Alligator mississippiensis: one gene and its partners. The main gene of each other region encodes a partner of the protein of the gene in region 3 in a complex. Links are inferred from orthologs where the notes say so. Each region holds a gene or a part of one and is shown on either strand. Other genes may lie near its edges. The genes, in order: TIMM50, TIMM17B and TIMM21.

Region 1 (9,663 bases), on a different chromosome or scaffold from region 3:
ATCGTGGGTAAACGTTTGGGCACTGACCGGCCGCGTGCTCTGGGTTCTTTGCAGGCAGCCGGACCCCACACTACGGCTCCCAGACGCCTCTGCATGATGGTAGCCGGACGCCTGCCCAGAGTGGGGCCTGGGACCCCAACAACCCCAACACGCCGTCCAGGTATGGGCTGCCCATTGTGGGGGGTGGGGAGGGGGCTGCGAGGCAGGGAGGCCGGGCACCCATGGCCACTCTGGGCTGTGGGGCTGAAGGCTGGTGGCATTGTGGGATGCAGGTGAGGCAGAGTTGGGTGCTGCACAAGACATCATTCACACAAGTGGCCTGAGAGACCACATGACATGCATGTGTATGTGCACACATGCACAAGGCCACGAGGTGGACACGAGTGGTGACATGAGACGCATATGTGCACAACCACATGCAAGGGGCTGTGTGACATGCACAGACACGGGGGGAGCACACGGCCATGTAACGGACATGAGGCCACATGACAAACTCGTGTCTGCCCAGAGGCACAAGGTACCACATAACATGCACGCAAGAGGCCCCGTGACAGACAGGAGGGGGCCAGGTCCTGCACACGCACACACTAACATACTCGCACACAGACTGCCCTGGGCTCCCTGCAGGCCTCACAGAGCGGGTGCTAGGAGAGGATTGGGCGGCACCAGGGTAGCAGCTTCCCCGGTGCCCCCTGACAGCCATGTTCTCCTCCCCCTCCCCGTGCCAGGGCGGACGAGGAGTTTGAGTACGGCTTTGACGACGAGCCCACGCCTTCGCCGCAGGGCTACGGGGGCACCCCCAACCCCCAGACCCCCGGCTACCCCGACCCCTCGTCGCCGCAGGTCAACCCGCCCTACAACCCGCAGACGCCTGGGACGCCGGCCATGTGAGTTCATGCTTTGGGAGCGGGGGAATGGCTACCAGCTGGAGGAGATTGCTGGACAGTGCCGGGCTCCTGGCTCCGCTCCTAACCCTTTTCCCTACGGCAGGTACAACACGGATCAATTCTCCCCCTACGCTGTCCCGTCCCCGCAGGGCTCTTACCAGCCCAGCCCAAGCCCTCAAAGCTACCACCAAGTAGCCCCCAGCCCTGTGGGCTACCAGAACACCCACTCGCCGGCCAGCTACCACCCTACACCATCACCCATGGCATACCAGGTAGGCAGGGGATAGGAGCTGTGGCTCTAGGCAGCAAAGAGTTCATGTTTGGGAACAGGGAGCTCCCTGACTTGGGGTGGAGGGGGACCCTTCCTGAGTGCCACTCTCATCCCCTTTTCCCTGCCCTGTGCTCCATCTGCCACTACAGACGGAGGCCACCCCTCTAACTCAGCTTCTTTTGCCTCCCTGTCACACAGGCCAGCCCAAGCCCCAGCCCAGTGGGCTACAGCCCCATGACACCAGGAGCCCCATCCCCAGGGGGTTACAACCCGCACACCCCCGGGTCCGGGATCGAGCAGAGCTCCAGCGACTGGGTCACCACCGACATCCAGGTCAAAGTGCGAGACACCTACCTGGACAGCCAGGTGGTGGGGCAGACTGGAGTCATCCGCAGCGTGACGGTGCGTTGGGAGCTGTTCCTGGGGTGCGGGGCAGTTACCAAGGGGGTTGGGCAGTTAATCTGGGATGCTCCCCCCCCACTCCCAGACATTTGTTTCCCCCCCCACGTGGGGTGAAAGTGGGGAGCTTGTGGGCACCAGGAGTGGAGAGTTCAGCCAGATCCAGCCGGGGGCTGGACCTGTGCTGGAGGAAAGGGGCATCGGGGGCTGTCGGGCACAGGAGTGCGGGGCACGGCCTCAGGGTTGCCACGTCCTGGACCCTTGATGGCTGTGAGGGGGAGAGGAACAGGGGAAGCCCTGCTTGGACCCCGTCACTCCCCCATCCAGCGCCGCTCTCTGCCCCCATGTGACACAGGAGACCTGGCAGAATGGACCTGGGGTCTGACCCAGTCCACAGCAGCTCTGAGGTTCCAACCCTCCCACCCCAAGGAATATAACAAAAGGCTCGAGGGCGACACAAACTCATCATTCACAAACCTGTTGCTCTAACCACTGAGCTATGGAGCCAGGCCTCGTGTCCAGCACAGAGGAGCCCTTGCTAGTGCAAAGCTTGTTGCTAGGAGGATGGGAGTTTGCTCAAATGCTCGTAACAAAGCCTCAAGCCTGGTTATGGGATGCAGAGGCCCAACCCCTAGATCCACTTCGGAAGGGACCAGATCCTTACCTAGCAAGGTCCCCCTCTCCTGCCTCCCCAGCTGAAGCTGCTACCTGACTTCCCTGCTTCCTCCCCTCCAGGGCGGCATGTGCTCCGTGTACCTCAAGGACAGCGAGAAGGTCGTCAGCATCTCCAGCGAGCACCTGGAGCCCGTCACACCTACCAAGAACAACAAGGTATGCGGCTGCCCCCAGAGCTGGGCTTCGGGGCTTCGGGGAGGCTCGGATTTACAGGGAGGTTGGTCCTTGGAAGGCCCTGAGCAGGGTGAACCCCACTGGAGGGGTGTTACGTAGCTAATGCAGGGGTCATACTGACCCACAGCAGGGGGGTGTCAGGGTGGGAAAGGACCTGGATGAAAACCCTATTTTCACCCCCCTGCTCCATCACCCACGGGTGTTGCCGGCTCATCTTTCCCAATTGGCTGGTCTCGGTTGCCTCGCGTTTGGATTGGCTGTGACGCACTTGGGAAGGCTCGAGGCTTTGTCAACGATTGGCCCCTGAGCTCAGCTTCACAGCCCACATCCCAATCGTGGCACATCCAAGGGACCTGCATGGCCTAAGCTCCCCACACCTGTCTCAGCCTCTCCTTGCCTGACCCCGCATCTCCCGCTCCTCCCTCCCAGGTGAAGGTGATCCTCGGGGAAGATCGGGAAGCCACAGGTGTCCTCTTGAGCATCGACGGCGAGGACGGCATCGTGCGCATGGACCTGGAGGAACAGCTCAAGATCCTGAACCTGCGGTTTTTGGGCAAGCTGCTGGAGCCGTAGGGCCCATAGGAGCCTCTGGCAGCCCCTCAAGACTGGCCTGTGCAGCACGGGGAAGGGGAAGGAGCTCTCCCAGGGAGAGGGGGGTGTTGCTTTTAGTTCTTTTCCACACTCTATTTTGTTTTGGGGGGTGGGTTTTAGTTGTAGTCTGGCAGGTGCGTGTCTTAGCAAAGCCGGGGCCACAGGGATGGGGCGAGGGTAGAGGCTGTAGCACATAACACGCTTCACTGGCTTCTGTTTGGGGAACCCTTTCATCTGCCCATGTCCAAATAAACCTCTCTCTTCCCCCCCCTGCACCCACGTCCTCCGTCTATGTCAGCAGGGAAGACCGGCAGGGTCTCGAGCCACAGGAAGGGCTGCACAGTCATGCCCTATGGATTCTGGGCAGCCAGAGATTGTCTTTTGCTTCCCCACTGGCCTGACACCCCTGAGGGGCGCAGGAGGATTTTACTCTAGGCAAGCTGAGAAACTGGGGGTCAAAGAGCATCTGTCCCTAGCAGAAAGGAGCGAGGGAGCCAGGTTTGGGCAGGAGAGCTGGGCTCAGAGGCTGGCAGCGAAGGCCAGGCACTTATCGGATGAACCAGGGCCTCTTGCAGTCAGTTTGTTAACCTCTGCAGTGCCCCCGAGAGGAACCATGGGCTGTGCTCCGGGGGGGTAGGAGCTGGGGTAGCAGGGGCCGGCCATGACGGATGCTCTGATACTGAAGGGCTTGGGGCTGCGCTTGGCAAGTGGCGGCTGGAGTGTTTAAAGCCTGGAGGCTGCTCTCGAAGCAGCTCCGTGCACCTTAGATAGTCGGGCTGAGAGCCCAGACGGAGTCACCGAGGTATTTAAGTCTTTGATTCACGAAGGTATTTATGTCCTCGACTTGCAGAGGTTCCTATGAGGGGGTGAGACCTGCTTATGCCTTTCTGGGTCTGGCCCTAAGTGCAGTGGGCAGAGATCAGGGTGGAGCCTGCGGCTTCTTCATAGAATCACAGACGAGGAGGGTTGGAAGGGACCTGTCCACCCCCTGCTCCAAGCAGGGCCAGCCCCAGCTCCATCATCCCAGCCGAGGCTTTGTCTACCCGAGTCTTCAAAACCTCCCAGGATGGAGACTGCGCCACCGCTCTGGGGAGCCTCTTCCAGCACTTCACTGCCCTCCTCCAGAGAGAGCTCTTCCTAATACCCAACCTCAACTTGCCTTTAAATCGGCAAACGCAGCTGGAATTTGTGATCAGAGCCCCCCGCAACCATTGCAGAAAAATTCAGTTGAGTCCAATGTTTCCGCTGTCCACACGGGCTGGCAGCTGCTTTGCCTGCCGAGGTGCTGGAGCGGGTTTGTGTCAAACCTTCGCTGGCCTTGTGTTTTCCACGTGGGGCCTTGCGGGAGGGGGCTGAACCGCGGCCGCGCTGGAAGTACACCCTGCGTCCGTTGTTCTAGGCTGGGCAGCGCCTGCCGTCCTGTCGTGCAGAGGTGTGTGAGCCTCGCGGGCCGCGCTGACCCAGCAGCAGTGCTTCTCTCTTGCACGCACAGTCTCACACTCGCAGTCTTGTGCGCACCTTCTCACGCATGCATGCAGTCTTACATGTTCACACATACATGCTTGTGCCCACTCGTGCGCTCAGATGCAACTATTCACTTGTGCATACGAGCTTCCACTCATCCAGCCCTGTGCGCTCACACTTGTGCAGGCACGTGCACTTGTGCAAATAGATGCACTCTCATGTCTATGCATGCTCTTGCACATGTGCTTTTGTGCACTCATGCACTGCCACAAACACATGCCCACAGTTGTGCAGGAACTTGTACATTCCTCTATGCATGTTCTTGTGCACTTGTGCGCGTGTACACTCATGCACACACATGCATGTGCCCACTCATGCAGGCACATGCACCCTTGCATGCGTGCATATGCCCACACTTGTACATGCACGCATTTTTTTTGCACTCCTGCGCACACTCAAGCATTCACACATGCTCACACGTTCTTGTGCAGATGCACAACCCAACCACACGCCCACACAGCGCCAGCAGGTGCACGTGTTGTCATTAGGCTTCAGGGTTAACGCCATGAGACGAACCACGTGGTCCCTCACCGCAGCACCCCCGGGCTTGCACCCTCGAAGCACGTTGCGGGGCGGTGGAAGGCGCAAAGCCTGCCGGGAGGAGGGGGGGTCACTGCCCCCTTGGCGCCAGCGACCGTAGCCAGAGCAGTTCCCCCACGTGCTGCCTTTGACCTTCGCCGCCTTCCACTTCCGCCTCCTGCCCCCATCCCTGATTGGCTCGGGCGCCCCTCGTCCCGCCTCCCCACTCCGCGATTGGCCGGCTTCCCCGGCCCTCCGCATCTCCATTGGCCGATACGTGCGTCTTTTCCCTTAAGCCCCGCCCCTTTAATTTCTTCACCATTGGCCCGGTGAATCCAGAGGGGCGGGACTCGCCGCGACTCCCGTTTCCTGGATTGGCTTGCGCCGCGGGAAGGGGCGGGGCCGGCCCCGGCAGCCCGCGCCCTGATTGGCCCGGCGGCGCGTGCGCGGTGTGGGCCGGCGCGGGGCAAGATGGCGGCGGCGGTGGCGCGGGCGCTGAGGGGCTGCTGCCGGCGGTGGCGGGCGGCGCCGTGGCGGGCGCTGAGCGCGGGGCCGGCGCCGGGCTCGGGGGGCGCGGCGCACGTGGGGCCAGCGGTGGACGCGGGGCCGGCGCCGGGCGCGGGGCTCACGGGGGCGGTGCTGCAAGACAAGCTCCAGCGCCCGCAGGTGAGGAGTGGGCGGGGCCTGAGTGGGTGTGTGGTCTCGGTGGGGGCGGGGCCTGAGGGGGAGGGGCTGATTGGTTGGGGCGGGGCCTGAGGTGGGAAGTGATTGGCCATTGGGGAGGGGTTGATGGTGGGGTGTTTGAGGGGGCGTGGCCTGAAGGGAACTGATTGCTTGGGGACGGGGCTGGAAGGGGAGGGGCTCACCGATTGAGGGCGGGGCCTTCCTGATGGGGAGGGGCCAGTGATGGGTTGTCTGAGGGGGCGGGGCCTAAGAGGCGCAAACTGGGGGAGGGGCTCACTGATTGAGGTTGGGGCCTGAGGGGGCGTGGTTTCCCAATGGGCAGGGTCTGATGGTGGGGCCTGAGGGGGTGGGGCCTGAGGCCCCAGAAGTTGGAAGTGGGGGGCTAGAAGGCACCGCTGAGGTCATCGCCAGGGATCCTGGTTTTCTCTGATTTAAAAAAAAAAAAAAAATCCCCAATTTTCACGTTAAAAAAAGAACCCAAAATCCACATTTTTCCTTGATCAAAATGAAATCCCCCCTCTCTCTCTCAAATTAGGTTATTATTAGATTAAATGAGGCCAGATCCAGTTAATTGGTGGCCGTCCACCCGCAGGCCGGATCGAACGTGTTGGGGGGCTGGGCCCAGCCCTGCCCTGCCCTGCCCTGGGTTAACACGCAAGCTCCCGCTTGCTTGAATGGGGCAGCTAATTCCCTTTGTCATCACCCCGCAGACCGGGCTGTCTGCTTCCGCATTGATTCCCGCTTCATTCCCGACCCGGAGATGTCGCGAGAGCTGCCAAACCTGGCGAGTTTCCTGCTTGGAGTCACCGAGGGGCTCAGTGATGCGCTGGGTCTGCTCCCCGGCATGCTTAGGGGCTAACTGCTTTTCGTTCCTTTTACGAGGGTTTCTGTGAGAGGATCTGCCGTTGCCTCTGAGTGGCACGTAGAAAAGCCAATGGGATTCCCCCCCAGTAGAGGTTTTGAGGCTGGTAAGGGGGTTCATCGACTAGCATGGGATTCACGTGACTTCTTGCTGCCGCTAATTTTGATCTCTTTCCTTTTTCTCCTCCCCGCCGCAACGGGTGCAGACGACAGAGGGAGGAGACGGGAAAGACGCCGGCTCTGATGAGCAGCAGGAGAAAAAGAGGAAGGAAAACATAGCCTACGCCAAGAAGGTCGTGCTGCGGCTAGCAGGGCTGATGGGAGCCGGGAGCGGGCTAGCGATTATCTATGTCTTCGGTAAGTCCCGGCTGTACAGGCTGAGGTGACCGTATAGGAGCTGGGTGGACACGCGGCCTGTACCACCCATCTTCTGGAGCTGAAGTTTGGGTTTCCGGGGGCTGGTGGGGGGCTGCAGTCAAGCAGAGAGCGAGGACACAGGTGGTTGTTAGAAGGAGAGAGCTTCAGCTCTGCTGGGCAGCCGTCGGAAAGGCAGACTCGGGGATTATTAAGAAGGGAACGGGGAGCAAAGCCGGAAGTATCGCAGCGCCCCTTTGTACACCCGTGATGCACCCACACCTCCAGTACAGCACCCAGTTCTGGTCCTCGCACCTCCAAAAGGAAATAGAAGAGCTTGAGATGGTCCAGAGAAGGGCAGCAAGGTTGATCAGTGCGATGGGGAGAGACTAATGAGGCCAGGCCTGGTCTGTTCAGAAGAGAGATTCACAGGAGTTTAGGGCTGGAAGGGACCTCGTGAGATCATCGGGTCCAGCCCCCTGCTCCGGGCAGGAAAGTGTACAACACGGGGACAGGACGAGGGCTGACAACGTGTGAAGGGGGAGAGAGAGAGTCAACAGAGATCTATTCTGGGCTGTCTCCCCCCAGACAAGAGCAAGGGGTCACGGCATGCAAGGAGCAGGCCGGCCGTTTAAAACGACACCAGGCCATTCTTTTATAGATGGTATCTGTTCCATCCAGCGTGGGATGAAAGTGGGGAGCGGAGCTCGTGGGCACCAGATGTGGGGGGAGCGGAGAGTTTAGCCAGGTTCACAAAGGGCCTGGGCCCGTTTTTGGAGGAAAGGAGCATCAGGGGCTATTGAGCATGGCAGTGAGGGGCACGGCCTCTGTATCGGGACGCCCTGGACCTACAGAGCTGGAGGCTGCAAGGAAGAGAAGAAAAGCCCTGCTCAGACCCAGCCGCTCTCCCTTCCAGCAGTCGTACGTAACCCTCGCCACAAGTCGCTGTCTTGCTCTGTTGGACTGCCCGGCTGGGTTTCTAGCATGACGCCACGAATTGTGTGTGGCTACACGCGTGTGTATCTACATACATATGTACATGCATACACGCAGACACATATACAAGGGCATTTCCGAAAGTAGAGGCAGTTTCAAAATGCGTGCAACAAGGGAGAAACCACCTAGCAGCAGGGAACACGGATGCCCCCACTGACACGCTGCTTACAACTGCGTAGAGAAGGACGGTTTGGACAGGGCTGGTCCTGCCTCAGGCAGGGGGTTGGATTGGATGCAGCGTCCGGAGGTCTGTTCCAGCCCCGCTTCTCTCGTGTTTTTAACCCTGTGGATTCCTTTTAGACCCAGAGGGTTCAATCTCGTGTATTGTGTTGGCGCGCACATCAATGCTCACGTGGCCCCAGCAGCCCAGAGCGGCTCTCGAGGCACCCCGGGGTGCTCCTGGGCTCCTGGTTGAGCATCACTGCTCTCCAGCCCTTAGCTATCTGATTTTAGGTTGGAGGCTTCACACCTGTACCTGTGTGGCAGCCACCTGCTTTTCCTGACCTCTGCAGCCATTCGTGATGACACGGTGACTGATGTGGCTTTTCTCTCCCATTTCACAGGCAGCAACTCCTTGGATGAGCATGGGGCTAAGGTAAGGAGCTTTCTGCTTCCTTTGCATTTTGCGTCTTGATAATAAAAGAGGATTTTGTGGGGTCACAGAGAAAACCAGGATCCCTGCTTAAGAGATCGAAATGCTGGTGGGAGACAGTGATTACGCATCTGTGCTGTCTAGACTCAGCTTCCATTAAAACAGGCTTTTGGTACCTTGCCCTTGCTGCTGATTTTCCCTCTGATCCCTGCGTCTCAGTGCAACCCGTTAGCGCCAGCCCCTCCTTCTTAGTCTCATTTCCTTTCTTAGAGGGTCTTAAAACGCTGCTTGTTGTGTGGGTTGAAAATGCATGTAACATTTATAAGCAGCTGAGTGCTCCTGTATGGTGTTTTTTTTTGGTGGAAGCGGTGTTTCTGCTTGGAGAACTGGGTAGAAACCTGTTGAACCCTTTCTGGTAGCATCGGGGAGATGTAACCAGGATGCTTTGCATTGGAAAGTGTGTCTAGGTCTCTCCCTGTTGTATTTCAAGCACTTGGCTGCCAACTGGTGCAGTAGACTATAGAGCAGTGGGGCTGGAAGGGAGCTCCAGAGCTCACATCCAGTCCACCCCCTGCCTGAGGCAGGATCAGCCCTGTCCAAACCACCCCAGACGCATCCGTCATCTATGCTTTACGTGAGACGACTGTCAACCCTGACATAGCACAGACCTGACACCCAAACTTGCCCCAGGGAAAGCAGGGAGACCGCTGCAGCCAATGTCCCGCTCCTATGAAATGTTGTCAATAGATGCTCAAGGGATCCCAGGTAGAGGGCCCACCCCCTTTCCCCCCAGCAGCTCATATTAATCTGAGCATGGCATAAAATTCCTTCCTGGCCCAAATATGGTGTCAGGCTGAGCATGAGCAGAGGGGCAAGACCCTCTGGCCAGGACGCTCTGGATTTGGTGCCAGCAGGAGCATTGGCACAGCTCAGTTGCCGTCCCCTGCAGCCAGCACGTTTGGGGGAGGCTTAAAAACCCCCTGATACATGGAGCAGAAGGATGGTGGGGAACAACCAGCAAAGCCCGGAGGCCTGGGACACCCCCGTAGCAGAGCACAGGCATCACTGAGCCTGGATCACCCCGACCAGTGGCTGTCCAGCCTCTCCTTGAACCCCTCCAGGGATGGAGAGTCTGC
Region 2 (10,696 bases), on a different chromosome or scaffold from region 3:
GATAAGAACCCAAGAGTCCCCACTGGGGGAGGTGTGAACTGGCTTATAGTAGGGGTGCAGAGCAAGAGGGAACCCAGGCATCCGGGATCTCAACCTTAGTAAGGGAGGGAGGAGTGCTGCTCCCGAGCTGGCTGCATCTTGGCCTGTTCTCTCAGCTGCTTCCCAACGGCCACACCCCACAGCTGGCTAAATCTCAGCCTGTTACTCTTGGCCAATCCATATGAGACCTAGCCACCCCTCAGTGCCTTGTTATACCTGGCTGTCTCCTGGCTGCTACACCCCAGAGCTGAATGCTTCTTGGCCTGTTGTAGTTGGCCGTGCACTCTAGAGCTAGGTGCCTCATGGCTCTCCCTGCTTGCCCTCAGCAGCTCCACCTGAGCTGACTGCATTGTTGCCTGTGATATTCAGCTGTTCTTCAGCCCAGACCTGGCTGGATCTTGGCCAGTTATATTTGGCTGATCCATCTGAGTTGGATGCCTCTGCTGTTACACTCAGCTATTTCTTGTCTCCAGAGCTAGCTGCATCTGGGTTTTCTCACTGCCCTGTTACACCCCAGCAGTTGCACCCCAGAGCTGGTTGTATTCTGGCCTCATACTAAGCTGTTCCTCATGCCAGAGCTAGCTGCATCTTGGCCTGTTATAGTTTGTGATAGGTGCATCTTGGCCCTCCTGGTGTTCTGCCGTATCTGGCTACATCTCAGCCCTCCTTTAGGGGCATTATAATCAGCCGTTCCCCTTCCAAAGAGCTGGCTGCATCTGGGCTCTCACTGCCCTGTTAAGCCATTTCAACCCAGAACTGGCTGCCATACTCTGCCATTGCCCACTCCAGACACCTTCCCTACCTGAAGTTGCCTCTGTTCTCTTCTTCCCCCTCCAGGGCACCAGAAAAAGAGAAGGGCTCCTGACTGCAGCCCTCAGCTACATGGATCCACCCCAGAGCTGGACGCAGCTCGGGCCTCTCCAGGAAGTGATATACTTAGCCCATCTCCAGCTGTTGCACTCCAGAACTGGCTGTATCCTGGCCTGTTCTGCTCAGCCTTTTCCGAGTTGTCGCACCTCAGAGCTGGGCACATCCAGGCCTGTTCTACTCAGCTGTTCCCCAGCAGCTCCACCCTAGAGCTGACCACATCCTGGTGCCAGGCAAGCTCTCCTCGCCTTGGAGCTAACCGCCCCCAGCTCTGGTTGCAAGGAGTGGGGCAGGAAGGTTTCAACTTATCCCCCCCCCCCCCCACCACCATATCTGGGGTGCTTGGGGAGGGAATAGGGGCTCTGGGGTTAGAGCAGGCAGACTGGGAATTCAGACGCCTGGGTTCTCTGGGGGCTGGAGATTTAGACTGTAGGGGGAGGGAGGCTGGATGCCTGGGTTCCCTGGGAGGGGGTGTATGCATTGGAGCTGGGAGGGCTGGGAGTCCAGGTCCTTATGTTCCATCCCCAGCTGTGGGGAGGTCAGGGGGCCTGGACTTCTGGGTTTCCTGGTGAGACCAGGGGCTTAAAACCCAGATGCTTGGGTTCTCTAGCAAGGGAGGGGAGGGGAAGGGAACCTGTTGGGGTAGTGTTAGAGCCAGAACCCTGGACACCAGGGGTCTCTGCCTGCTCTCCCTGTCTGTTTCTATACATCAGATTGGTGCTGGGGCTAGGGGGTGGGGGTTCTGCCTGCACCTACTTTTTTTTTTTTTTTACTGGAGTTTTGACTTTATTGTGGTGCTAATGCTGCTTTCCTAAACTAAGAACTGAATCAGCGTCATCTGTAAGGGTCTGGGAGACCAGATGCCTGGGTTCTCTGGGACAGTGGTGGGGGCTGGGAACCAGACACTTGGGTTCTCTTCAGGGGCTAGGGTGGGTTACGGCTGGTCTTCTACCCCTTCTGTCTGACAGCAAGTGACTGTAACCTTCCCCCCACCCCATGATCTTGGCAGATACTGGGGCAGGTAACCCCTTCTGTTACCCCCAGAGCCCCACCCCGTGACCTGTACTGGCCTCAGTCTGGCTCCACCGCACTAGCTTTATTATATCAAAACAGGGAATTTTGGGTGGGGTCTGGGGGGTCCCCATATGGGCTTCTGAGCAGGGAAGGCACTGGAAAAGAGGTCTGAGGGATTCCCGGGGCAGGGTTTAAGGGCCCCAAAGAGGGAGATCTCTGTACGGGTGCTGGGACACCAAAAAGGGGGCTCTGGGGGTCCTCACTGCCAGTAGGTGACAGCAGGTTCCCATGGAGGGGGACTGGGGACAGGGGGTATTGGGAGGTCCTTAGCTCCCTGTGGGGGGAGGGGGGGGGGGGGTCTGGAGGAGTCCTGGGTTCCCTGTTGTTGGGCTTTAGGGGAATCCCAGGGGTTTCAAGGGGACTGGAGGGATCCTGGGTTCCCCATGGGGGGACTCTATAGAAGATCCCAAGGGGGTCTGGGGGTCCTAAGCAGTCCCAGAGAGGGCCTGGGAGGTTTGGGGGGGAGGGGGGTCCTGGAGTCCCTGTGGGGAGGCTCAGAGTTCCCAGGGTCATCCAGGCCCAGTCAGTCTTGCTGCTTGGCACGTGAGGCCTCGGCATTGGCACGCAGCACAGCGCCAGGGCTGGGGTAGGGTCGCTGCTGGAACAGGGGCCCTGCAGCCGTTGTGTCAGCCCCAGTCTTCGCCTCGTTGCGCTTGGGCAGCCCCGTCGACCACGTACCCCTGCCCAGGGAACGGGGCAAGGTCAAGGGGCTGGCCATGCCCCCTGGGGGGCTGGCCCTAAGCCCCTAGTAGCCACAGGCCCTGGGAATCTCTCCTCCCTCCCAGAGGAGCTAGCCTTGCCCCCATGTGGTTCTGCCTACCCTTAGCCCTACCCCCAGGGAGTGGGCCATGCCCCACCTTTAGCCCCCCCCGCCCCGCCCTGGCCACCACCAGGGCACTAGCCTCAGCATGTGGCTTTACCCACCCTTCGTTCCAACCCCAGGGAGTTAGTCCCACCCCCATGTGGCTCTGCCCACCCTTAATACCGCCCCTAAAAAGATGGCCACACCCCCATAGGGCTCTGCCCCCACTAGCTTGATTTTAAAGACCTGGGCCCCAGCCCCCTAAGAACTGGCCCTGCCCCCAGCCATAAGGCCCCACCATCCCCAGCAGTGGAGCCTGCAGCTGATAACCCCCTTAGGTCTCAGTACAGCTAGGCTCTGCCCACCTGTTAGGCTCCACCCCTTGGGCTCAGAAGCCCCTCCTCTAACTGCCCCAGCACTCACCGGGGGGCATCCGAGTAGGCACTGGGATCCATGGGGTCAAGCTCTTCATCCTTCCGGCTCCCTGAGAGTGGGTGGGAGCCTGATGTAGATCTGCCCAGGCTGGATCTGGGCCCTGCTTAGTGCCTCCTTGACTCCACCCCAATTGCCTCCAGCTCCAGCCCCTCTACTTTTAGCCCCACCCCAACAGTCCCATGTCCCCCCACCCCAACAGTCCCATGTCCCCCCCAACACATCCCACCAGCCCATGACCCTCCCCCAGGCCTTGCCCACCTTTTTTGCTCTTGCTGTAGGGGGAAATTTCCTCCCGGCGATGGAACCGCCGTTCCTTAGCCTCCTCATACAGGCGCTCAGGCTTCTCTTCTGCCTCTGTCGAGTGGGGAGAGGGGGATGGGAGGGTAGATAATCTAGGTATCCAAGTCCCCCAGCCCCTACCCACTCCAGAGAGGGAACCCAGGCATCAGAAAAGGGAGAAAAGAACCCAGGTGTCCAGGTTCCCAGATCCCACCCACTCTGGGGCGGGAACTCAGGTGTCTAGGCCCCCCAGCTCCCACTTCCTTTAAGTTGGCAACCCAGTTGTCTGAGGGCGTGCCCCACCCCACTCTTTACCTAGGTTGTTCTTTAGCTTCTTGCTGGCCTTGGTGATGACAGAGTTGGGATCATTAGGGGACAGCCAGGACACCAGGTCATTATCCACATTCCAGTAATAGGGTAGACCACTGGTGGAGGCAAAGGGGTAGTAATAAGTGTGTGGGGGGGAAAAGTGCAGCCTACTCTAGGGTGGAGAAGGCAGGGAACAGCCAAGCATAATAGGGCATATACAGGGCAGCTATGCAGCCAGCTCTGGGGTGCAGTAGGTCAGGAATGATTGGGTATAGCAACACCAAGTCGGTTGAGATGTTGCTAACTCTGGAACAGGAGGAGAGCTGGGAACAGCCCCATATAATGCCATGTAAATACAGCCCAGAAGTACCCAGCTCTGAGGTGGAGTAGGTGGCTATAATAACCAAATTTAACTTCCCATGGCGAGTGCTAGGATGCAGCCAGCTCTGGGGTGGAACAGGAAGGGAATAGCGAAGTATAATACTAACTGGAATAAGTTGGAATGATGCCCCATCTCAGAACTGGCTACAAGTATACCAGCATTCAAAGAAAGCCAAGATGGACCCAGCTCTAGGGTGGAGATGGAGAACAGCCGAGTATAACACTGGTAACCCACCTGAGCTCCACCTGCATTTTGGTCTATTACAGGCAAAGACAGCTGAGTATAACATGGCACAAAGAGGGCTAAGAAGCACCCAACTCTGGGGCTGAGCAGGCAAGGAATAGCAGAGTACAACATTGCCTAGAAGAGGTCAAAATGCAGCCAGCTCTAGGGTGGGGCAATCAAGATAGCCAAGGATAACACCATACAACTAGGGCTGAGATGCACCAAACTCTAGGGGGAGCCCCTGGGGACCAGCTGAGTGGAACAGGCCCTCACCAGATAGGGTCAAAGACCTTGTACCAGTTGGGGGGCAGGTTCTCGAGCCGTGTGGCCTCGTAGTCCACATGGTCATCATCATAGTCCTCTGCAATGATCTCCTCCTCTGGCTCTGGGGGGAAAGAAGTGGGGACAGTTAAAGTGGAGGGGGGTGCTGGGAGCCCAGATGCCTGGGTTCCTTGGGACTCTGGCAAAGGAAGAGCAGGGAGGGTCATCCCTCACTCCCAACCCACAACCCCCGCTCCCCACAGAGTCCCTCACTCCTGACCCGAAGTCCCCCAATTTGGGTGCCCTAACCCAACCTGCAGCCCTCCCTCCATCCTGGTGCCCCCCACTCCCAACGTGAAGCATCTGCAATGGCTTTGTGGGCATGGGGGGGGGGGCTCACCAGGCTCCACGTGCTTGAGCAAGCCCCTCTTGGCTAGGCGGGACTGGAGAGCGACAGGTAGCGGCATCTGTAACAGTAAGATGGGGAGCAGGGTCAGCGAGGGGGTTCCTAGGGGTGGAGCTGAGCTCCACACCGCCACGCCCCTTATGCTAGCCCCGCCCTCACATCCTTCCCCTGAAGCCCCTCTATTCCCATAGTAAGTTCCTCGCACGTGGGGCCCTGGGACCCCACCATTCCCCACCTGCAACTTCCAGCTACGCTCCCGAGTCAGCGCAGACGAATCAGCCGCCTCTGTGGCTTCAAGGCCCGCCCTTACCTGCAACACGTGACACGCGCCAGCCAATTCCAGTGCTGCGGTTGTCTCATACAGGCGGTGCCAGAGCCAGAAAACAGACTAGAGAACCGGTATCACGTGACAGCAGATGACCAATCAGAACGGCGAAACGAGCGTTCCCTTGTCACGTGACGCCGTTTAGAGAGGAACGCCTCGCTTTCATGTGACAGCAGCCAGCCAGTCACAAGTGGTCTACGAAAAAACAAAAAACACCCCCAAAAACTCCAAAACTCCCGTTGTCACGTGACGAAGCTGGTGCCGCTCCTGAGCAATCAGAGCCGTTGTTTCTTTCATCCACCTGCCTTTTCCACGTGATCAATAGGGACCCGTAGCGCCCCGCCTCCACGTGATTAAGATCGGACTTGGGAGAAAGGGTAGTCTTACCTCTCCTTTGTCACATGACCCGTGAGGCCGCTGCGGGGCGCGATGGAAGAATACGGCCGGGATCCCTGGTAACAGCGGCATAGAGGGAGGGGGACAGCTTCCAGGAACGGGTCAGTGGATCTGCCCTAGGCTTCTTCTTGGGGTGGCCGAGTCCATTTCGCCGTTTGGGGGGTGGGAGGGAACGGACGAATCCATTCGCAATTGTGGGGTGGAGGGGAACTATCGTTTTCTAGTTCCGCCCGCCGACCCGGGTCAGTTTGCGCTATTCCATGTTTGGTAACGGGGCCGGGTCGGAGATATCTGGCTTCGTCATGTAATATTAAGCAATAAGTTCACTTCTCCTCTTCCCCCCCCCTCCTGGCCACTTGGTACTTTCTGCCCCTCTAGGTTCTATGATTAGGCTAGTCTATTGCGAGGTGCTGGGGGTGGCTTTTGATAGCTGATTGCGCCCCTTCCTTTGAAATTACTTCCTTTTCCATTCCCGGTCCGTTAACAGGGCTAGAGGTATTGTGTAGTGGGAGGGCGAGTGTTGCAGGGGAGTGGCTGTTCCTTACATCTGACTCCCTGCAGGTACCTACCCCATTCTTCGGTACTTAGTACCTCTCACCCCACGTTCCATGGGTGGGAGAGGCCATTGTGGCTGGGGCTGGGGGGGGGTTCTTTGTCTGCTCCCGGAACTCGCACGTTCCCATTCCCAGGCACTTGGTATCTCCCTCCCCTGGGGTGGGGTTGTCTATGGGTGGACCAGTACATTTTGTGTGGAGGTGGGGGTGATGGCTCTTCACTCCTGACACACCCATAATCCTAGCCACTTAGTATCTCTCATCCCGTGGGGCAGGTGAGGCCATTGGGGTCTAAGGCAGGACTAGTTTTTGACAGCTAACCCCATACATGGTCACTCACATTAATGGCCACTTGGTACCGCCCACCCTATTGGGTTCTATGGGTGAGTTATTCCACTGCGGGCCAAGTCGGTGGGGAGGGGGGCTATTCCCAATTCACTCCCAACCCCCACACCACCCCACCTTGTCCTGCAGCCCCTGGCGCATTGTGGATGACTGCGGCGGTGCCTTCACCATGGGTATCCTTGGTGGTGGTGTCTTCCAGGCCATCAAGGGCTTCCGCAACGCCCCCATGGTGAGTGGCCTGGCCTCACCTACCCTCCTTTTATCCCCTCAAGCCCTGCCCACTGCATGGTCCTGCTCTGCCCCTTTTACCCTTGAAAGCTCCTCTCTATTTTTGCCCCACCTTCACACAGATTCAGAGAGGTGGGGGACAGTGTTCTGGGGGGTGGGGGCAGAGGGGAAGGCAGGAATCACAGCTGACCCAAACGTGTCCTGTGCACTCCACAACCCCCTTTTCTCCTCCACGCCCCCCCATTCCAATGCAGGGTGTTCAGCACCGGCTTCGGGGCAGTGTCAATGCTGTACGGGTCCGAGCCCCCCAGATTGGAGGTGAGTTGAGGGATTTGAGGGGCACAGGAGAGTAGGGCCTTGCTGTGGTGGTGAGGGTAGGGCAATTGAGAGAGAGCCTGGTGGTGAGGAGGCGGGGCCTAGTTGTGGGGCCAGGGAATTTCAGGGGCTGCAGGCCTGCCAATTAGGAGTGGGACTGAAGGACATTGGGGCAGGGTCTAGTAGTGGGAACAGGCCTGGGAAACTTTTAGGGCAGGGCTTGACAGAGGGGGTTGGGGCTGAGGGAGAGGCCCTGGGGGTAGCAGGTGGGGCCAGGTAAATTTGAGGGCAGGGCCTGAGCATAGGAAGGTGGGGTCTGGTGGTATGGGTTGGGGCTGGGGGACAGGGCCTGAGGGGCAGAAAAATTCAGGGATGTGGCCTTGGGATGGGTAGGCTGGGCTGGGGGACATTGGGGCAGGGCCTAGTGGTGGGAGGCAGGGCTGAGGAAATGATAACAGAGTCTGGTGGTACAGGTGGGCCTGGGGGGTCATTACAGGTGGGGCCTAGTAGTCGGAATGGGGCTTAAGGACATGGCCAAGGGGAGAGGGGGAGCTGGGGGCAATTAGAGGTGAGTCTTGTCGGTTGGGGCATGGTCTGCTCAGCCCCCTCTCCCAAACCCAGGCAGCTTTGCAGTGTGGGGTGGCCTGTTCTCTACCATCGACTGTGGACTGGTGCGGGTGCGGGGCAAAGAGGATCCCTGGAACTCCATCACCAGTGGGGCCCTCACAGGCGCTGTCCTTGCATCCCGCAGTGAGTGATGGACTCAACCCTACCTCATGGCCCCGCCCTTTTCCCTGAGGAGAAATGAAGACATTTCTGGGGAAAAGGCAGCTGCTTAAAGTGCCCCTTATTCCTGACTGGTAGCCCCATTTGTTCTCCAGTTCATGGTTCTCTCCCTCCTCCTGCAGGTGGCCCTCTGGCCATGATGGGCTCAGCCATGATGGGCGGCATTCTCCTGGCCCTCATTGAGGGCTTCGGCATCCTGCTCACACGCTACACGGCCCAGCAGTTCCAGAACCGTAAGGAGTTGAGGAGGGTTAGGGTTAGGGTGATGGGGCCTGCATGTTCAGCGTGAGGTGCATTACTAAGATGAGGAGGCTGTGAGTTAGGAGTAAGGGGGACACGGGGCGGGGCCTGCAGGTCGAGAGTTAGGGGAAGTTCTGGGTGACTGGGGGCCTACAGATTGGGAGTGAAGTGCATCAATAGGAGGTCTGTGGATTGGAATGGGGAGCACTGCTGGAATGGACCACCTAAATTCCATATCCTTTTTCCTCAGCCAATCCCTTTGCAGAGGACCCAAACCAACTGTCCCCCAAGGATGGTCCCAACTCAGCTGGCTACCCAGGCTATAGGCAGTACCAGTGAACCCCTTTTGGCACCCTGAGAAGAAGAGGGGCTGCTTGCCCCATGCCTATAGACTGGCTCTGCCCCTTCTGGCTTGTGCATGAAGGGCTGCAGAAAGGGATGCAGCCCCTTCCCTTCCCTTCCCCGCCAGGCCAGGGGCCACCACCCTGATCCCAGCATTACCCCGTTTCTGGAGGGGAGGGTCATTTGTATTTAAAGAGGTTTTTACAGTGGTTGAATAAAAAGATTCTTACAACTGTGTTGGGGTTCATTTGGGGCTGTTGGGAGGGGCAGGCTGGGGCCAGGGCAGGGCCGGGTCCATTTCCTAGTCAAGAGCAGACTGCTTCTGGGGTAGAGCAATGGCCGCAGCCCCGGAACTTCGGGCATAAGTCACCCCAGCTCTAGGGCTCTGGTTCCAGACTTCATATGTTAGACATGCCTGAATCTCCCTATATCCTATTGGCTAGAGGATTTGGCTGGGCCAGTCCCCCAGCCAATGGAGGTGCAGTGTCACGGGAGGAGGGGAGCGGTGGTCCTGTTGGCCAATGGCCGCACGCCTTTCTGAGCTCTCTAGGGCCCTGCCCCCTACCGTCCAAATTGCCTCACATCTTCCTGACGCGTGTCCCGCCCCTAGTCTGGCGCTGGCTGGTTCTGTCAGCCCCACCCCTGAGCCCATATCGCCTCAGCAACTGCCGCAGCCAATCAGCGGCTGCCCTGGCTCAAGTTCCCAGGCTCCGTCTCGGGCCCACGTTCCATTGGCCACCGAGGAGTGACAGGCTAAATTAGATGCTTGGCCGCCTCTCATCGCCATTGGCTACCGCAGCCTCACGTTGCTGCCCACACATGCTGCTATTAGTCAGGGGCCCAGGATTTCAAGCGCACACGGTTCAGTTGCCTCCTAGGGTTCGGCTGTAGAGTGCTGGTAGGTGTGTGGCAAGCGGGAGTGGTGGGTGGCCCAGGCGCGGGGTGGCCCTGGCCTCCAACTCCTTCCCACAAAGCTGGGCACCCAGACGCCTGGGTTCCTTGCCAGTCCCTCAGGCACAGAACCCAGGTGTCCAGGTCCCTTTGCCCATCAGGCCACCCATGCCAACCGCACCTTCTTTATCTTCCCTCACAGGTGAAGCTCCGCTCCCTCCAGTCCATGGCGCCAGAGGTCTCACTCCCACCGCACCCCTACTGGCCACGGGGGCTGACGGTGCCAGGCTTTTTGCCCAATGAGCGCCCAGCCTGGCATAGTGTGGCATTCATCTTTGGGGCTGCCGGCTCCCTAGCAGCCCTCACGTGGCTGGTCAGCGGCAGGACCCGCAGCCCACAGGAGGGGCCTTGGCGGCGCCTGGCACTGTGCTGGTTCACCGTCTGCGCCTTCATCCATCTGGTGGTCGAGGGCTGGTTCAGCTTCTTCCACAACAGCCTGCCGGGGGACCAGGCCTTCCTCTCCCAGCTCTGTGAGTGCCCAGAGGTCTGGGCTCTGTGCCTGGAGAGGGTTGGAGGGGACTCAGAGGCTTGGGTGCGGTGTTTGGGGCAGGCTTGGGAAAGGCAGGGTTGGGAGCATCCAGAGGCTTCAGCTCTATGCCTGGGAGAGCCTGGAACCAGGGCTCCATGTTGGGGGCTGGGGTGGCCCAGACACCTGGGTTCCACGCCTGGGGAGGGTTGAGGATGGACTCGGACACCTGTTACACAGCTGGGGGCTTTGGGAGTGCCCCGATACCTGGGTTCCACCCCAAAACTGCCTGATTTTTTTGCCTTGTTTTCCCCCCAGGGAAGGAGTATGCTAAGGGCGACAGCAGATATGTCATGTGAGTGCCAGAGCCAGACACCAGGCTTCTGAAAGGGGAGGGGCTGGGTCCTGGGCACCCAGATACCTGGGCTTTTTGGGAGGAAAGTGGGGTTGGGGGATTGGAGCTGAGAATGGGACCCAGGCATCTGGGATCCCAGCATAACCCCCCCTCCCCTTCCCTGGTCACCTCTAAGAGCACCAGCTTTCCCCACCCCCCCTGCTGTGCTATGTGCTGGGGCTCAGAAGCTTGCAGAGGAGGATTGGGACATAAGGGTCCTGACTTGGGGAAGGGGTGGGGTTCACAGGGGGTGGGACTGGCAGAGAAGGTGTGGA
Region 3 (10,625 bases):
GAAAAGATGAAAAATTGCAACCGGCCAGGGAGTGCTGGGCCCCAAACTATGAGCTCTGGCTTTCCCCTATTTGAGCAGCCTCTGGGGCTGCTGAGCCACCCCCAACAACCCTCCAACACCCAGGGGTGCCCCCATTCACCACAGACCAGTGTCCTCTGCTGGGTCTCCCCCCACCCAGTGGCTTAATTTTTAACCTGCGCCCTCCCCCGCCGTCCAGTTGGTCTTTAAGCTGCCTTGAGCCAGGGCAACAGGCCCTTGGGGGCCCCCCCCATCACCCGGGGGGGCTTACAGCTCTTCAAGAGGCCACACCAGCAAGGGATGGGATTGCACGTGCCTCCCCCACGGGGGCTCAAGGCGGGCTTAGATCCCCCCCCATTTCTGCCCCCTGCCTGGAGCACAGGGCCCTCCTCCACCGCGGCGCCCCAGCCAGGAGACAGCTCCGAGCCGGGGGATCGGGTACCTGGCCCGCATGTCGGAGCCCGCGCCCGCCCAGTGCTGCCGCAGGACCCAGCCGCGGCCCATCGCCATGGCAACACCGAACCCCGACTGTTGCCCCCCCCGCGGAGCTATGGGGGGGGGGGTTTTTGGCGGCGACGTCACGTGACTCACTGAGAGCGTTCCAAGGGGCGGCCTCGTTCTCGCGGGGCGGGGCTTCTGCGCCACCTTCTCTCGCCCCGCCCTGACGTCATTCAACCTGTGACAGCTGCTTACTTCGTAACACTTGTGTGACGCCTGCGTGACTAGCACGCCTGGGGCAATGCAGAAGTGTGACGTGTTGGGCGCTAACGCACCTCAGGTACTGCGTGTTTAGTTCAGTACTTCCTTTCTAACGTGCTAAGGACATCGGTAGTGCCTGAACTTACTGCACAGTAGTGCTGGGGCACAGTTATTTAGTGACACTTAGCTGCCAGTTAGCCTCATGCTACTGCAGGCTAGGCTAGTCACACAGTTTTTGCTGTGACATGCGGTATGATGCTAATGTGCATAAGCTGCTAGTGTCAGTGCGCCCAGTGACAAGGAGAGAGCGCTTTTGAAATGAGACCTGCAGCCTGGCTTCACAGCCTGAAAGTTGTGCTACATCAGCCAAAAGAGGGCCCAGGCTGCTCCCACGCTTAGTGCTTCGTCCCAGAAGAAAACTCCTTCACGCTCGGACTCAGATGACCCTTGATCATCACGTCCTCCCGTGATGAGCTGTCGCTGATAGCAAGGCTATTAAATTGGCCCTGGATTTGATCCACTCTGGGCACGTCTACTTGTGAAACCAATTTGATGCAAAAAAAAACTCCCGTGCAGTTTGCAATGGAGTTTTTTTGCGTTGCTTTTACAGGTGCGCCTGACACCACAGTATGTTGAGTCACAGCAGACCAGCCCCAGCAGGCGGGGGGTGCCGGTGGTCCGCCTGCCAGCCTGGGGCTGCTCTGACTCAACATGCTGTGGAGGGGCTAGCTGGGGTACAAAAGTGCTGTGGTGTGGGGCAACCCTAATGCACCAGTCAGCCCTGGTCAGCATCTACATGCGTGTTGCAGCAAAGTAAATAACTCCACCATAGGATCATACCCGTGTTGGGCAGTACTGTCCTATGGCCGAGTTATTTAGTCTATTTCAGTCAAATAGTACCGCATGTGTAGATGCTAACACTTTACTGTGGAGCTAATTAATCAGCTCTGCAGTAAACCTCTCATGTACATGCACCCTGTTTGTGGGAGATCTCGAGTGGGAATAAAATCATTTGTGTTACTCTTCCTTTTCCAGCATTTCTTAAAAACAATGTTCAATAAATTCTTCCTATAACTCTTGTCTGCCTGTTAAACTCATCTTCATTTTCCATCCACATGTATTCAGCAAATGCATTGTTATCTTCATGAGCGTGACCATTAATAATAATCACATCTTCACTGATGATGCTTGGGCTAGGACTGCTGCCATTTGGATCTTTCATGGCTGCACTTCTGATCTGAAGTAGGAGCACGAGTAGCTCTAGATTTTACAAAGTACTCTTGTAGGCTAATGGCATGAACCTTGCCATAGTGCTAGGACATTAAAAAATGGGGGGGGGGAGGGGGTGATACACCTGGTGAGGGGCATCATGGCATCTAAAACTACAGGTGTTTCTCTCTAGGTAAAAAGAAATTAGACACTTTTCCTAACAGGCTAGAGACCCAGGCAGGGCTGTATTATTTAGTGTTAGAGTGAAGAAGAAACAAAGAGAATTTCATTGGAATGAGTTGAAAACTAATTCACAAGGCTATAAGACAGGAGCTGCCTCACCAGGAGCAGGGAACAGGCAGCAGCATAGCATAGCACAATCCCTTTGCTTGGTTGGACACCAAGCCTATTCAAAAGAAGGGAGGAATGCTATACACATACAGATTGAAAAGTTTAGGAGGGATCAGGTAGATGATAATGAGCCAGGAAGTCATAGAGTCATAGAGAAGTAGGCCTGGAAGGGATCTCCAGAGGTCATCCAGTCCCAACCCCCTGACTGATTCAAGTGACTCACTCAGCACTGCCTATTGAGAAATGCTGCTGTCACTGCCAGGCAGTTGATTTTAAACTTTGGGTGGAGCAGAAATCAAAGGGGTGCCTCAAGTCTATCCAAGGGTGCCTTGAGTCTAAAAAGGCTGAGATCCACTGGCAAAGGTGCCAGTCTACTCTGCCTTCTCATACTGGCCACCTGAGTACAAACTGTGGCTCCAGGATCACTGAGAATAATAACAAGTTGTCATATTTAGAGAGGGGGAGTTCTCTGAAGAACTTATGAGAAACTTACTCTTCAGCGCTGGCTAAAGGAGAAGCTTTCTGCTGGAAGAATAATTTGCAAGTATTACTATCCATCCTCAAGAAAGAAAAGTCAGAAGCAGCCACCGAGTCAAAAGACTTCTGTGAATTTAAACTATATGGGAAGTTTGAACTGCCAGAGTTATTCTGCTATTAAGATAATTTGAGACTAAAAAAAGGTCTGACACCTGCTGCTAAATTTCTTACAGGACCCAACTAATAATTAAAATTAAGCCTAAACCATTTAACAGATTTACTTCCAAATTCTCAGAATGTTCCATTTATTCTCAAAGAGCAATTGCTGCCATTTGCATGCATAATAAATACTTTGTCTGCTTTAAGAACAAAACCTAAGTGACAGATCTGTGACTAGCATCTCCAAAATAGCCATTTTGGTACCTGCAGTGTTGGGACTGATTCTTCCAACAAAGTAGATTTATTAGCATATGGTTAACTGTTATTTTAATTTGATCCTTAAATGTATTTTTATACCAACATGTAAAGTTTGAGAGGCACTTGGTATCAGTGGAACCAAAGAAATCATCTACACCAAGGGTTGTAAACTCATCCAGCTCCACGGGTCAGATGAGGATCCCTGGGGCAGTCTGTGAGCAGACTGGGACCAACTCTGTGTGCAGCACATACAGCATGAGGTCCAGCCTGCATGCTGCGTACACCGGTTCCAGGCCTCGCTGTGCATATGGCAGGGAGGTCCAGTATAGGGCACATGCTATATGTGACACAGCCTGATCTACACCAGGTCAGAGCCAGTATGCAGGGCTGGTCCTGCAGAGTGCAACATGCACTGTGTTCCCCTGACTGATCCCCTGTGCCGTGTGCAGGACACACAGTGCCAAGTCTAGACCACATACTGCATGCAGTGCAGGGGGCTAAGGCCAGTACATGGGGTTGATCTGGCCCATAAGTCACAGAACCATATGGCTTCATAGGCCAGATGCAGCCCACAAGCCATATATGTTTGACACCTCTGAACTACACATATATGTGGTTATGGCTGAAATCTAACTCCTATTATATATTCTATATTTCAGTTGCTCATCATTTTCTTAAACAAATTCCCTAAAGAGGTTCATTTTCATGTAAAGTTTGAACAAAATATTTTAAGATATGTTTGAGTAGTGGCTTTATTTATTTTTATATAAATAATAAATATGTATATTGCTGTTGTGCATTTTATATACACATACCCCAAAATGTGTAAATATATTTTATAAAATTAAACACACCCAAACTCAAGTTCTGTCTTCTATAGTACCTTTGTAATACACAGTAGTTGAATTCAGTGAGGTTGCAGAGGTACAATTAATAAAGATCTTGGCCTTAATTGTAGAATAGGGTTTTAAGATACTCAGCTTTGTGATAATTGTGTAACTTCATACAAAACAATACTACAATAAGAGACAAAGGAGCTTGGAAAAGAATGAGAGAGATTATGTTTGTTTGACGTTTGAGCAAGCAGTTGGACTAGATGACCTCCTGAGGTCCCTTCCAACCCTAATTGCCTATGATTCTATAACTTCCCTTTAGGCAGGTCAGTAGCCCTTATATTGCCACAGCTAACTAAGAAAGCAGCATTTCAGGTCATTTATGCAAATCTTAGATCCACCTCCACCCTGCACAGTTCACCTTCCCCTTCTGTGCACAGGAACCACTCCCAACTCCTTCCACCCTATTGTGTTCCCATTCCAGCCAGGGATATAACTCCATGCATAATCCCAAAATAATAATCCCAATTTTAGCCCTATAGCCTAGTGCAGTAGTTCTCAACCTTTTTTGTACCAGAACTCATTTGTAGCCATTGATGGCCAGTCCCAACCCAGTACCCCTCACTCCCAACCCGCTGCCTCAACCCAGACCCCAAGCCCCAGCCCCGCAGTGTATGGGGCAAAGGGGGTGTGAGGAAGGAGGGGGGGAGGGGGAGGGAGCAAGCAGCCCCTCGTAAACTGGAATTCTGCCAGCCTGCAATGGAAAAAACAGTTTCCCATTTTTTTTTCCTTTAAAGGAGAGTCCATTTTTAAAGTCTGTTGATCCATTTATAAAGTTCGCTCCCCACCCTTTCATATATTCTTGCAACCTACCTTTGGGTCACAACCCAGATTGAGAAATGCTGGCCTAGTGGTTAGGGCACTTGCCCAGGAAGTGGAAAATTCAGCTTCTAGCACCCTACCTGCTGCTTCATAAATTTGAAACCTGTACCTCCTGTTTCATAGCAAAGCATACCAACTGCAAGGCCATGGAGAAGGACTCCTCTTGAAACTTAAAAAACTGAAAACCAAGAGCCAGAAGTAAAGCAAATTGAAGGAAATGCAACTCAAAGAGATGGGTGCTGGGTTCTGATCTCCTGCCCCAACTGGTACTTCTAGATTTTGCATTTAATAATCATTCCATAAATTGGGTAGACAGCAGGGTAAATCAGCATGCAGAGCCACTTTAGGTGACCACATAAATCAGCCATGTGATTGCTGGATTTGATCCTCAGTTTAAAAGCAGAACCTCTAACCACAAGGGTAAAGTTCAAAGGAAGGCAAATAATAAATCGAATTGGCCCGATTGCTGCATGCTCACACTCCTGCTTATGCAATTAATGAACAGATTCCCATGTTAAAAACCTTTCAACCCTAACCCCTAATTTTGCAGTGCACATCCAGTCTTTGCAGTATTGGGACCTTACGTCACCAGTTTTCCTCTAGAATAGAAATACTTCCTGATCTGCCCTTTTACAGCTTCATGCAAAAAGCAAGGAGCAACTTGCATTTTTGCAAAACCCTAATGAAAGAAAAGATGTTAACAACCCTTGTTAAGACATTAAACGTTGAAAAAGAAAAGCTGTTTGAACCCCTTTCTAAAACACTGAAAACTGGCAAAGCAGGGAACACACCAAATGCCTAACCCTGGCTGCAGCAGCACGTTACCTACGTGCTCCCCGTGCCCAAGCCAGTGGCTTTCGATTTGATTCGTGTCCTGGATCTTGCTGATTTCAACAGCAGGGGCTGGTGCTTTGCATTCTGGGACTTGTAGTCTTTTGGCCTCCAACCCCCTTAACTCGGGGCAGCAGAAGAGTTTGTGCAAACTACGTTTCCCAGGATCACAGGGACTTTGCAAGGAATAATGGCGGGGCAAGTTGCAAATGTCAGCGAGCAAAGGGGAATGTGGGGTTTTGAGTGAGCCGGCAAGACAAAAAGCAAAAGATTGCTCTAGTTCTTCTTGCTTTCTCAGGGGCTGCACCAGCTCAGCAGCAAGCAAGGTGAGGTTAGCCTTAGCTTGAAGGAAGCTGCGTTGATCTGAGCCTATAGCATTCTCAAAGGCTTGATCTGCCCCAGCATGTTTTCTGCTTCCCTCATGCGAGTGATTCAGTGCAGCGAGAAGCTACAGCTCTCCCCAGGAAAGTGGTTTCTTGCCCCCCATGGGAAAGTGTTTTTAAGGACCTGGTCGTGTTTCAGTGGGAGACACGAACTTGTCCGCAGAGGTGTGCGGCGCCCTCGTATATTTCTCCAAGGCGCAAAGCAAAGTCTCTGGACCCAGGAAGGGTCCCTGAGAGCTGAGAATAACAGCAAACGAGTGTCTGTGCAAAGAAGCCAGAAAGAGGAAGCATCTCTGTCACCTGCTCGGAAAGGTAAGGAGAGGCCCTTTTAAGCCAGTAGCAATTCAGAGCAACATGGAGATGGTGTCACACGAGGGCAGTGGTGCAAAATTGAGTGTCAAAATTGCAATTGAGAGTTGCAGCATTCAGGAAGACTGCTACATCTCAGCCCTCTCTCCCTCCTCCCCTCCTTGACTTTACTTTGCCTTGTTTTGAATTGCTTTCTACACTGTTAGGTATCCAGGCATTGGCGACGCGTAGAGGGTGTACGTTCACCCCCTGAGATTGGCCACCACCGACACCTGTAGGCACTCGCCACTCGCCTCCCCTCCCCGCTGCCGATACCGCTGGCAGTGTCCGCGGGCAGTTGCTGATCGCCACTGGCTGCCGCCAACACTGCCAACAGTGTCTGCGGGTAATCACTGGTTAGTGCTCGCCACCTCTTTCCCTCACCGCTGCCACGGCCACCTGCAGAAGTTTCCCACTCACCGCCGGCACGGCCTCACCACCAACATTGCTGTGCACCCCCCAGCCTCGGGAGTCATGCGACGTTCATGTACCCAGGTTGTAGCTGTATTGGTCTAGAGGAGAAAAGGAATTGTGATCTGTGGTAGATGTGATATCTTTTATTAAACCAACTAGAGCAGTGTAATTACGTTTATTAAATTGCAGTTTAATTCAACTAAAGAAATTTAATTGCAATTAAAGATTATTTTTTTTGCAAAAATCTAGTTGGTCTAATAAAAGATATCACCTCTACCACAAGTCCTGATTCCTTTTTTTTATACACTATTAACTTTTATAGGTACATCTCTCACAGGGTAACATTTCCCTTGCATTACCACCCGTTGCATTGGTTGACTTCTTTGCAACACATGGGTTTGTGAGGCCAGGACCTGACCCACCCAGTGTAAATCAGGGTGGCCTCTGGTAACCTATGTACAGTAGAGGGGGGGACACGTCCAGTTTTGCTAATCCTAGTTCACTATCAGCAAACTTAGTGTCAGTGGGACTTCATTTTCAGAAAATTTTCCTGCTATAAATGGGATGTGACTGGACAGCCAGTAATTTTCCATTTGTGCACATTATATTTCAGATGCCATTATAATCTTTCTGATGCATAATAAATGGCTAAATAACAGGCCTCTTAGATTTAGACCAAGAGAAGGAGACTTAACATTTTGTAGTAACTTGCAGAGTTTCCTAACCTTTTTTATCCGTTATGACTGGGCCTGCTATATGCATAAGCTTGCTGCCAAATTTCTGTTTCCCTTGGGTGTTTCCACACTACATTGCAATCTGCAATATAGACATTTACTTGTATTGAACAGAACCTTAAACTTACTGCAAAAAAACAGAGAGGATTTAAACACCTTGGCTGACTAATATTCTAGGAATTGATTCTCTGCAAGTGGTTGAAACAGTTCAGAAAATAATTCTATATCCACATAATGTCCTGAAGATTAAAACCTGTCTGAATTTAATGACATAAGTGAGTGGTTCTGAAGAGCAGTCCATAAATAGCTGGGTGATTACTTTGCACTGGCTCTATAATTTCGCTGATTTTAAGGCCCAAGGGGCCCATTAGAAAATCTAGTCTGACCTGCGTATCGCAGGCTCTTAAATTTTAACTAATTACCCCTGTATCAACCTATACAACACATCTGACTGAAACAGATCTTCCAGTAAGGAATCCAGTCTTGATCTGAGGAATTAAGAGATAACAGATGTACCATTTACTTTGGTCATTTGTTCAAATGATTAATTGCCTTCATTTTGAAAATTTAATACAGGTAATGCCTTTTTTGCAACAATTGCTTGTTAAAGCAACAGCCACATTTCATCTGAATACACAGCAGTGAAAATATTCCCAGTGATCTATACCGGAGCAAGAGCAGTTTAGGAGCAACAGGGCACGTCTACATGTACATTAATATGCCGTAGTTACTGCACATTAAGTTTAGTACCTATAATAACAGGTACTAACTAGATGCACAGTAACAGGCACTACTGCGCAGTAGCGCATGCCTTTTAAGTGACAGTAATGTGCATTAGACCAATTCTACTGCACATTAGCACAATAGCATGGCTTTTGCCGTGACGCACTAATACATGGTAGAATTACTCTGCCGTGCATTTAGCGTCCCATGCAGCCGTGCCCGCAGAGCACCAGAACACTAGGCTGTTGCTACTGAGAGGTGTTGACTGTACCTTATTTCTTGTCTGCATTTTCCTGGCTCTAGCTTCCAGTAATTAGTTCTTGTTGTTATTTAACAATGCAGTTACAACTGTTACATTGAAAATAGGAAATGCTTTCCTTATGCTACATTTTTGCATCTATGAAAAATACTACTCGCCAGAGAAATGTAGGTGGAAACATTTGCTCCATCTAGTTGCAAAATGGAGGAAAGGAGTCTTACCCCCCCCCCCACACACACATGCACACAAAAAAAAAAAGCGGCATAGCTATTTGAAAAAAAAGGACTTAGGTGCATTTCAGGCACCACAGTTGAAAGCCAACTATCCCCTCTTCTGTGGCAAACAATTCAGTTGGTATCTCCTTGTTTAGCCTGCAACTTCCTTAGTGATGTGGTTTGGGACATGTACGTGACTGCCATGGCCCTTGTAGCTTGCTTCCAGCTAAATCCCCATTGGGATGTAGAAATCTGCCAGATGTATTCAGAGCACACCTAACATGAGAGATTTGGTTATGCACTCCCCCACCCCCACCATACCTCCAGGAGAGTGCTCTCTAACCACTAGGCTGTAGATTAGATTGGGTTGGGGGAGCACTCTCCACCTTTCCTGTTGAAGTTGGGCCCTTTGTGGAAGAGAATGCAACGCCTGGAAGAGAGAGCACAAGAGGGGAGCATGAATATGTAGCCAAGTAGTTAGAGCATTTGGCTTGGATGCAGAGGTCCTGGCTTATGGTCCCTGTTCCCAGGACTATATTCATTTTTCATCCAATGCCTCTCTCTAATGTAAATACATAACACATCCTGGGAGCAAAGCCCAGAATTAATCCCAACCCCCAGTGTGATGTGCAAGATTGAATATCACAATTTAATGTCTTAATTAAGTTTCCCTTAAGCACCTTGCAACAAATACCTTTTTATGGTAGATCAGTTTATTTCCCTAAGGTTTTAACATTTTTTTCTCGTTTAGTTCAATGACTCGTGAAAGAAAGATGAAATACCATGCTCAGGACCAGGAAATAGAGAAGAGAGTTTTCTTAGAGGATTGTGATTCAGACATCTGTTCCTAACAGCACTCTTTTTCTTTTCTTTTTTTCGTAATTAAGTAATTTGTGACATCAGTTATAATGTCTGATCCTATCTTCTTGGTTTCTCCAATTTATTCCTTTCAGCAAAAAAATAATTGTTACACAATTAGCTTCAGAAATTAGAAGTACTTTGAAAAGGTTTGGGCAAAACCTCAACTGGTAAGAAAGATTTGGAAGGCTGGAGGAAAAGAGGTTATTAAAGTTTCGTCACTAATTTGCACGTTGCTAAAAGGCATACTTTATAACTTCTTCTAATTGATAGTTTCTCCCCACTTCTCAGTAAAGATTTTATGGCAAAGGTTTTAAAGAGCCCTCATAATAGTAACATTTCATTATTTTTAGGGAATAGACAATAGTGCATTTACTAGCCCACTATGTAATATACTCGAAGACTACAGTTGACAAACCAATAATCAAAATGGGTTTTTTGGATGTGCTATCCTTATCTTTAGTTTTTACTTTAACTGATAATTCCCTAAATTCAGTAATTTGCAATAGTATGTCTGCTTTGCACCTACTGTCTTCTATTCTGATTTTTTCCCTTTTCCTGTACAGTATTTAAAAATTGCTCTACATGTATAGCTTACTGAATAGATTACTGCTGAAAATATAATACCAGTATTTAAAAGAAAATATCATTGTACATAAGTCTGAGAGCTGTAGCACCAGTTATTCTTGGTCTTGAAATTAACTACTAGGAAGGCAGAAAATAACAAGGTTTAATGGGTATCTATAAATATGCTGAAATTACTTAAAAACATGTCATGGTCTTTTTATTTTACTGATGAAGCATTATAGAAGGAATGGAACAAAAGCATTCCTCCCCTCACCGCTATGAGACCTTCATGTCAAAATACTATCTGAACCTTATACTGATTTATAGAAAAGAACTGATATGATAAATGTATGCAAGTTTTATTGTCAGCTATTTTAACTTCAATATTGGTTTCTGTCTATTACAGT

Evidence for each region.
Region 1: TIMM21 (region 3) and TIMM50 share a complex: the UniProt entries of both Homo sapiens proteins name them as parts of the TIM23 complex. The link is inferred for Alligator mississippiensis from reciprocal best matches to the Homo sapiens genes TIMM21 and TIMM50.
Region 2: TIMM21 (region 3) and TIMM17B share a complex: the UniProt entries of both Homo sapiens proteins name them as parts of the TIM23 complex. The link is inferred for Alligator mississippiensis from reciprocal best matches to the Homo sapiens genes TIMM21 and TIMM17B.

What each region holds. Positions count from the first base shown.
Region 1 is NC_081838.1:1,065,126-1,074,788, reverse strand, and holds the start of TIMM50 (mitochondrial import inner membrane translocase subunit TIM50), read left to right. Parts: upstream 1-5,496; 5' UTR 5,497-5,511; coding exon 5,512-5,706; intron 5,707-6,791; coding exon 6,792-6,942; intron 6,943-8,498; coding exon 8,499-8,530; intron 8,531-9,663. Other genes in the region: SUPT5H (transcription elongation factor SPT5), read left to right, coding at 55-160, 729-887, 991-1,159, 1,357-1,560, 2,293-2,388, 2,836-2,979. UniProt on the Homo sapiens protein: Essential component of the TIM23 complex, a complex that mediates the translocation of transit peptide-containing proteins across the mitochondrial inner membrane. Has some phosphatase activity in vitro; however such activity may not be relevant in vivo.
Region 2 is NC_081831.1:28,426,259-28,436,954, reverse strand, and holds TIMM17B (mitochondrial import inner membrane translocase subunit Tim17-B), read left to right. Parts: upstream 1-5,768; 5' UTR 5,769-5,833; coding exon 5,834-5,859; exon of another isoform or gene 5,860-5,901; intron 5,902-6,264; exon of another isoform or gene 6,265-6,361; intron 6,362-6,828; coding exon 6,829-6,928; intron 6,929-7,181; coding exon 7,182-7,245; intron 7,246-7,863; coding exon 7,864-7,992; intron 7,993-8,150; coding exon 8,151-8,261; intron 8,262-8,518; coding exon 8,519-8,607; 3' UTR 8,608-8,842; downstream 8,843-10,696. Other genes in the region: SLC35A2 (UDP-galactose translocator), read left to right, coding at 877-904; PQBP1 (polyglutamine-binding protein 1), read right to left, coding at 2,504-2,660, 3,206-3,266, 3,476-3,571, 3,812-3,921, 4,686-4,797, 5,074-5,140; EBP (3-beta-hydroxysteroid-Delta(8),Delta(7)-isomerase), read left to right, coding at 9,728-10,031, 10,346-10,382. UniProt on the Homo sapiens protein: Essential component of the TIM23 complex, a complex that mediates the translocation of transit peptide-containing proteins across the mitochondrial inner membrane.
Region 3 is NC_081826.1:107,905,057-107,915,681, forward strand, and holds the start of TIMM21 (mitochondrial import inner membrane translocase subunit Tim21), read left to right. Parts: upstream 1-5,890; 5' UTR 5,891-6,120; coding exon 6,121-6,412; intron 6,413-10,624; coding exon 10,625-10,625. Other genes in the region: FBXO15 (F-box only protein 15), read right to left, coding at 461-528. UniProt on the Homo sapiens protein: Participates in the translocation of transit peptide-containing proteins across the mitochondrial inner membrane.